Linked DNA regions of Coturnix japonica. The protein of the gene in region 1 binds, or shares a complex with, the protein of each later gene. Links are inferred from orthologs where the notes say so. Each region holds a gene or a part of one and is shown on either strand. Other genes may lie near its edges.

Region 1 (3,811 bases):
GCACTGATCAGAGGTAGTGATGTGCAGCCTTTTCCTGTGGTAATATTTAATGTTCAGGACTCTTATTTCCACTGTGTAGGTATTTGTTTTTGTAGTTGGTTGTTTTTAGAATCAAGCGAGTGTTTCCTTAAAGTCTTCGTTCTGTTGTTGTTTGTTACCAACCCCAAGAAAATAGGCAACGTCAAAAGGTTCTGTTCAGCATCCACTTAGAAACATGGATGTGTGATCGCACAACAGCCTTATGCTGATTTCATATTCTTTGAAGCACGAGAGCTCGATTCTGTTTTCAAAAGCGTTTTTAAAACAAAGGTGCTTTGTGTTTTGATCTTCTGATGATTTTGCATTGAGAATAATACAGCTGGGAAGTAGCTGAGCACGTGGCAAATGAGGCTGTGGAAAGGAAGGTTATTTTATTGTTCTATGTGCAAAGCAGCAGAAATACAGCTAGATGTACCACAAAAGCACACTGTATGGGCTGCTGCTACCACTGGTAGCTCTGCACTGAGCAGAGCAGCTCTGCGGGCTGTGTTGGGCTGCAATGCCTGGGGAAGCAACTTGTGTGAGGAAATGAAATGGGAAGTGAGTGAGCAGTAGGATGGGAAGAAGGGCAGATCCACCTGCACACACTGCGCCTGCTCTCCCATCCACGTCTCAGTCCTCATTTATTTGATTCAAAGCAACTGTTGCAGTGTTTTATGTTACGTATTGCTCCCCTGACTGAGGGCAGCCACGCTTGTACCAGGGTAAGGTTTGTTTTTGATGCTGTATCATTTCATCTTAGTTAAAGATCAGGGAAACAGATTCAGGCTGCACAGCGGTGTGCAGCCATAGTAGAGTTCCTGCCTCTCCCGTGTCCTCTCGCACACAGAAGAATTCAAGTTTAGTGAAAATTGCAGCTGTTTGTATGCTATTGATAACACTCCCTTTTGTTGAGCAGGAAGGAAAAGCTGCCTTCGTAGGGTTATATGGAGAAAGGTGATGGGGGCATTTGATGTATTGAATGCTTCATTTTTCAAGGCAATCACTGGATATTTTGAACCTTTGCGCTACATACAGAAAATGTGTTGATGTACTGACTTGCTACAGTAACCTTTGGGAGTCAAATTCAGGGCTTTAATTATAGCTCAGCTCACATACAAACTACTTTGTGGCTCCTGGACTATGGCAAGTGCTTGTCCATGCTATCAGGTTTGGCACAAATGACTAGGCTTAGCACTTTTCACCTCGAATGTCACAAGAGCATTTAAAAACCGGAGGGAAACCCAGCAGCCCTCAGCCCTCTGTCTTTAGTCTGTGCCTTGTTCCAGCCCGCAGATGAAGAAAATGCATTTCTAACAAACTAAAGCAACAGGGCACAGGGTGAGCAGAGATGTTACGAGCTGTGCGTTCTTGCAGCCTGGTTCTCATATGAAGCTGGTACCAGGTGCCACCTTCCATAAGAGAGCAAGGAGGACTGGTATGGCTGCAAGACTTATTTCTTCTCAGGCTTCCCAGGGCTATTCCTACCTGTCTTCCTCTCTGCTTGCACTCACAGAGGTGCATGGACTTGTTTTGCCTTGTGACGTCCCTCTAAATCTGAAAGCAGCAAGCAATAGGATTGTAGCACATTTAGGGTTCCTAAGCTTGGTTGTTTTGTTGTTCTGTTTTTGCTGAGCTCACCATGAACTCTCTGAGGATTTCCACTGTGGTTCAGCAGCATGCAGAGATTTATGTGGAGGTTCCTGCACGCAGCAGCCCTAAACTCAAATCCTTCTATTAGGCTAAGCTACATTTGCAGTATGCAGATTTCACATACATGTTTCTGGGTTACTGTATGATGTCCATATGTATTCCAAAATAAAATCCGTGTTTTTTCCTTTCCTTTGTTCTCTTCCCAAGAAAAAAATAATAATAATTGGTTAAGAATAAGGCCTAATCCTGCTGCTTGAAGTCGGGGAGAACAGAGTGGGGAAGTTCATTGTATAAGCACAGCTGACAAATCTGCATGTGAATGTGGTTTTGTTCAGTGTGGGTGTTTTTTTTCCCTCCAGTCTCCTTTATGCTGTTTAATGATGGTGAATGTCCTGTAGCCTCAGGGACTTTTCCATTTTGGTGCTGGGAGGAACTTCTTTGCAGATCTTGTTGCTTTTATGAAGCAGTTGTGTTTTACAGATGTGGCCATTATAGATTCCAGCCATTCCCTGTGATTGTTCTCTTTCTACCCATGTTTGTAGTTCTTCTGTGTGCAGTAAATGTTTATCTATATACACATAAAGACAGACATTTTCAAATTGCTCACGGTGCACCATGCGAGCCATGTAGCTTCCAACAGGCATCTGTATGGCCTCCCCTGAGGGGTTCTTGTAACACCCAGTTGTGTTGTTTAATTGGGTCAAAATTAATTTTGGTGGTGAAAACTATCGTATAAAAGCAACTTGCTGTAGAAAAAGCAGTAATAAAACACTCATTATAGGGTTGTTTTTTTTCTTCTTCCATCAGGAGACACAGAGTAGGTTAAACTAAAATTATTAAAGATGTATCTTAATAACAGTGTTGTTCAGTCACCTCTGGGAATGGGTTCCTGTACTCTGTGGGTGACTAAACAGCCTGTGAAGCACAGGGGCTCTTTGAAGAGCATTAATAGCCGCTGCGCTAATGGCCATATTACAGCACTCCTCCTGCTCCCCTCTGACTCCCTTTGCTACCCGAAAGTTAGAATGGATGCGGTCTCTGTGTAAGTGGAGACAAAAGTAAATTGACTGCATTATGTCTGTGCACTGTTGGGCAGAGGGGCTGCAGGATGTCCTACCCTTATACATCAGGCTCCATACTTCAGTTATACAGAGGCACCCATAGTCGTGCTGCACTGAAAGGCATGAATGTAAATGCTGAGTATGGGACTATAAGAACCCCACTGAAAGTAGTTGTATTGACTGAAGTTCCTATTTAAGGCTGTATGCGAGCAACCACAAAACTATGAGGATGCCCTGATATCTGCCAGGCAAGAGGGATTCATGTTTTATAGATGGAAACAAGATTGCTAAAGATTGATATATTTCATTGCAGATGTGACGAATATGTCACACAGCTGGATGAAATGCAGCGGCAGCTCGCAGCAGCTGAAGATGAGAAGAAGACTCTAAACTCGTTGCTTCGGATGGCAATCCAGCAGAAACTGGCACTGACACAGCGCCTGGAGCACTTGGAGCTGGACCATGAGCAGTCCAAAAGGGTGCGCACAAAATCTGCTTCCAAAGCCAAGAGCAGTAACCCTACTGTAAGTCATATTCGCTCTTGTGGAGACAGGCCCGAAGGACCTGTCCTTAATAACCAGGTGTTTTGTAGCGAAAAATATAAAATCTATTGTGACTAGGAGAGGTGTGTAGAAAAACCATATTATGCATCTTATTTTATGCTGTAATTGTCAGCGTAAATCCCCACTATCTAATGTCGCGGTGAGTTGACTTGTACTAGTAAGTTGTTAAACCAGGTAATACAAGTTGTATTATGGTGGTCTTAACTGTAACTAATTCATAAGTACGGGGATGGTATTAACGAGTTAATGGTGGAAAGGAAGTAGCTTTTTCCACAATTAACGTGTGTGGGTTTTGCTGTTTATGGTAAGTGTTAAGAGTACACCTGATATATTCTATCTGGTGTTACTAACCGTAGTTTGTATAGCACAAATGTGATCCTTTCTCCAGGGTTGCAGCATACTTTAATAAATGCTTTCACAGACAGAAACGAACAGAAAACCTCCCCTGCTGCTGTGGCTAGAAGTGGTGAAAAGCAAGTGTTAGATGAGAGTTGTGTCTTGAAAACAGAGACCATT
Region 2 (3,819 bases), on another chromosome or scaffold:
CTTCCATGGTGCGAAAGGGAACTTGCACATCCCCTGTCCTCAGCTTCACACTGCTTCAGAAGACACAATGATGTAACTGTTCCCCCTCCTAAACAAATATACCAGGAAAAACAATCCCTCTTGTTGCTAGATGATACTTGTAGCTTCTACAGTCACGGCACCTCAGTCTCTAGTTGCCCCCTGGCTTGTTTTGCACCCCCCTTGCACTGTGCTCACCCTGGGTGTTCCACTCTCCCCCATGAGTGCAGGTCACACTGCTGAGCGTGGAGATGACAACACTGAAGGAGGAGCGGGACCGGCTGCGGGGCGCTGCAGAAGACAAGGAGACGAGCGAACGGCTCCTGCAGGCCATCCGGGATCGGGACGAGGCCATCGCCAAGTGAGTGGGGACACAGCCTGAGCCAGGCTGGGCTAGGGGTACAGGAGCATGTTGCCTCCAGGGTGGCCAGTCTGAGCCCTGCTGCTGATGGGAAATGCTGGAGGAGCTCAGGAGCTCTTAGGAGCTACCCCAGGGCAGGACCAGGGGCCTTCCAGGGGATGCTGTGAGCCCTGATTTTGCCATCATGGTGCTGGTGAGTGGCACTAGAAGGCTTTAGGGAAACAAATGCAACCCCTAGCTCTGCCCTATTCCTTTTTCTTCTTTTGCTCTTCCAGACTTGCTTCCCTGCCCATCTCTATTGCAGCCTTTCCTGGACCTCATCTCTAAAACATTCCTCTGCTCACTCTCTCTCCATTCCTGTTCCAGGGTCTTTTTTGCATCTCCACTCCCATAATTCTCTTTTTCTCTGGTCAGAACTCTCCCACTGTTTTGAATCTTTATTTTTCCCCATCTTCCCCCTCACAGCCCTCTGCCATTTTGCTGCCCCATATCCTGTACCTCCTCCATTGGCTCTGCACCTTGCTGAGCTGCCCTGCAATGCTGCAGAACAGTGCAACCCTCAGTAATTTCCCTCACGAAGAACAGGCAGAACAATTCATCCCCCGTCCTCTAGGTAGAAGGGATAGGCCTGATAATCTCTTCCATATGAGGTGGCCAGAACACCACCAGTATATCCCCTTACAGACACATCTAATACTCAGGTGCTTGTGGGAATAGGAGGTGAGAGCATTGCAGCTCCGAGGATGCAGGGAGCTAAATCTCCATGCAGAGACCCTGCATCTTTTCTTAAATGAACTGGCTCACCCATGCTGCTCTTGCCCAGATATCCAGCTTCCAAATTCCCATTACTGCCCTCTGTTACACCTCCATCTGTTGGCATAAAGCAGGAGCATCCCAGCTGCACAGCCGGGTGCAGGGACGTCGTTCTGACATTTCCTGTGCGTGTGGGCTGCTGGCTCTTGCTGTGGCTATGGCAACATGCAGTAAATCCCACTGTAATATCCACAAGCAGCAGTGAGGAGCTTCAGAGCAAAAGGCTATTTCAGGTGCTCAGACCCACAACCAGGAGCAGAAGGGTACGGCTTCTCCACAGTGCTTAATGACCCTATAAAGCCCAGAGGGAGGGGACGTGACAAGTGTGCACGGATGAGTGGTGGGTGATTAATGAGCAGTAGCTGCAAGTGAAAGGAGACAGCATATAGATGCTAGAAATGAAAGCATTCCCTTGCAGACAGAGGGGATGCTGCACAGCAGTGAGCTGCCCACCAGGCATGCACTGCTCTGCCCACCTGCACCTTAAGGGTTAAATCACGGCTGTGGAAGTGCTTCCCCCCAAAAAAAGCAACCAACCAACCCAACACTGCACGCAAATAAAATCACCGCCTGCAGCAGACATCTGGCATGGAAAACATTGAGCTCAAAGCTGAAGATTGGCAAACATGGGAAGCAATAGGAAAAGAGAGTTCCAGAATAGGAAGCGTTCAGCAATCGCTACCTGGGATATAAACACAGATACCCACATTGCTCTTCTGCAGGGGAGTGTGAGGGAGCTGTTAGGAAGTGATGGGTTAGAGATAGTTCACAAAATGCAGTGATTCTTCCCCAAAATATTTTCAAGGAAAAATGGTTCCCAGCAAGTCACATTATGGTTTCCCATCGCACAGCAGTTAATCAGTAACTCCAGGTTTGTGGCCAGGTCCTTTGCTCAGCCCAAGCACCATCTCTAGAAACTGAGAGCAGAGTTGTACTTCTTGCAGGGTTATTTTTCCATATTGAAACTTGCTGCTCAGCTGAGCACAGGGAGGGTCTTTGTTTTTTAGAGCATTCTATTTCATTTCCCATACATCAGCAAACAGAAGAAATGCAAACATGTAACTCATTTTAGTCCTCCATTTTTGATGGTGGGTCCTGCATGTTGTTCAGATATACAATATGATTCTGTAGAGCAGCATGATTGAATATCTGTTCCTATTTTTCATGGTGTTGTTACCTAAAATCTGCTCATCTTATGGTAAGGATGTCTGCAGTTCTGGCCCACTCTTCTGATAAATAAACACAATACAATGTCACAACAATAAATAGACACAATTCTGATAAGTAGACCAGAATACAATGGAAAGCTGCTTAGGATTTAGGGACTTGCCAATTAAATAGAATCACAGAATGGTCTGAGTCAGAAGGGACCTTTAAAGGGCATCTGGTCCAACTCCCCCACTGTGCACAGGGACACCCACAGCTCCATTAGTGCTCACAGCCCCATTCCCTGATACTGGGTGTCTGTAGGGATGGGGCACCACCGCCTCCCTGGGCACCTCACTGTAAGCAACTTCTTCCTTATACACAATCTAAACCTCTCCTTTCCATTTGGAACCATTTTCCTTTGTCCTACCACACAGACCCTGCTGTCCCCTTCTTTCTTTTGACACCCCTTCTAGACCAAAATAAATAACCTGTTGACTTCCGAGGGGTACGTTCAATATTTCCTTAAAACAATAATAAAGTGAAAAGTCCCATTTCTTGCTCTCCCCCCAGGAAGAACGCTGTGGAGGTGGAGCTGGCCAAGTGCAAGATTGACATGATGTCCCTCAACAGCCAGTTGCTGGATGCCATCCAGCAGAAGGTGAACCTCTCGCAGCAGCTGGAGGCCTGGCAGGTGAGCAGTGCCCACTGCAGCAGGGCAGGGTTTGAGGGCATTCAGAGTACACAGCAGAGGAACCCACCTGGGTCTCCACGTTGAGGATGCCCCCTGGGCAGCCTCAGCATCGAGATACGCAGATGCAGCACATCTGTTCCTATAGCCGAGCAGAAGGTGGGAGGTGGGGAGGTTGTGGTCATTGCTCTACTGCATAGCACTGTTTTTTGTCAACGCGGAAGATGCGGCACGATGGAAAAGCTAAAATGAGAGCTTTCAATCAAGGTAAAATGAATAAATACATAAATAATGGAATCCCAAACCCACAGCAGGTGAGGGCAGATGCCCCAGAGATGTTCTTAGGGTCAGTGGGACAGACCCGTGCCAAGCAGAGAGCCTGGATGGCAGACAAAGCTGAGTCCTCTGAGAAACTGGCACTGAGGGAGCATGACTATTAGAAAATGAGCAGATACAAGAGAAAAGGTCCGGGTCAGTTACAGGAAATTGGTGCAGACCCTGCAAGACCCCAACTCTACTACCATCCAACCTGACCGGTAGAAACCTCTCCCATACAACCTCACTCCTGTTTCAACTCCACCGTGTTTTCGTTTCTTTTTTCTTCTTCTCTTTCTCCTGCTTACAGTTTGCTTCCTCAGGGCTTTTTACTATCTGGCTCCTTTGGTTTCTGATCTAGTGGCCTTTCTCAGTTCCTGTACCAACAGCTTTAGTCGTACACCCCTCCTGCCTTTGAGGTGAGATCCCTGCACCCACTGAACACCCACCATCACTTTGCCTGCTCCATTCACTG

The links.
Region 2: BICD2 (region 1) and BICDL1 share a complex: the UniProt entries of both Homo sapiens proteins name them as parts of the tripartite complex. The link is inferred for Coturnix japonica from reciprocal best matches to the Homo sapiens genes BICD2 and BICDL1.

Annotation. Positions count from the first base shown.
Region 1 is NC_029527.1:4,839,668-4,843,478, reverse strand, and holds part of BICD2 (protein bicaudal D homolog 2), read left to right. Parts: intron 1-3,045; coding exon 3,046-3,352; 3' UTR 3,353-3,811. UniProt on the Homo sapiens protein: Acts as an adapter protein linking the dynein motor complex to various cargos and converts dynein from a non-processive to a highly processive motor in the presence of dynactin.
Region 2 is NC_029530.1:8,432,658-8,436,476, reverse strand, and holds part of BICDL1 (BICD family-like cargo adapter 1), read left to right. Parts: intron 1-248; coding exon 249-379; intron 380-2,911; coding exon 2,912-3,032; intron 3,033-3,819. UniProt on the Homo sapiens protein: Acts as an adapter protein linking the dynein motor complex to various cargos and converts dynein from a non-processive to a highly processive motor in the presence of dynactin.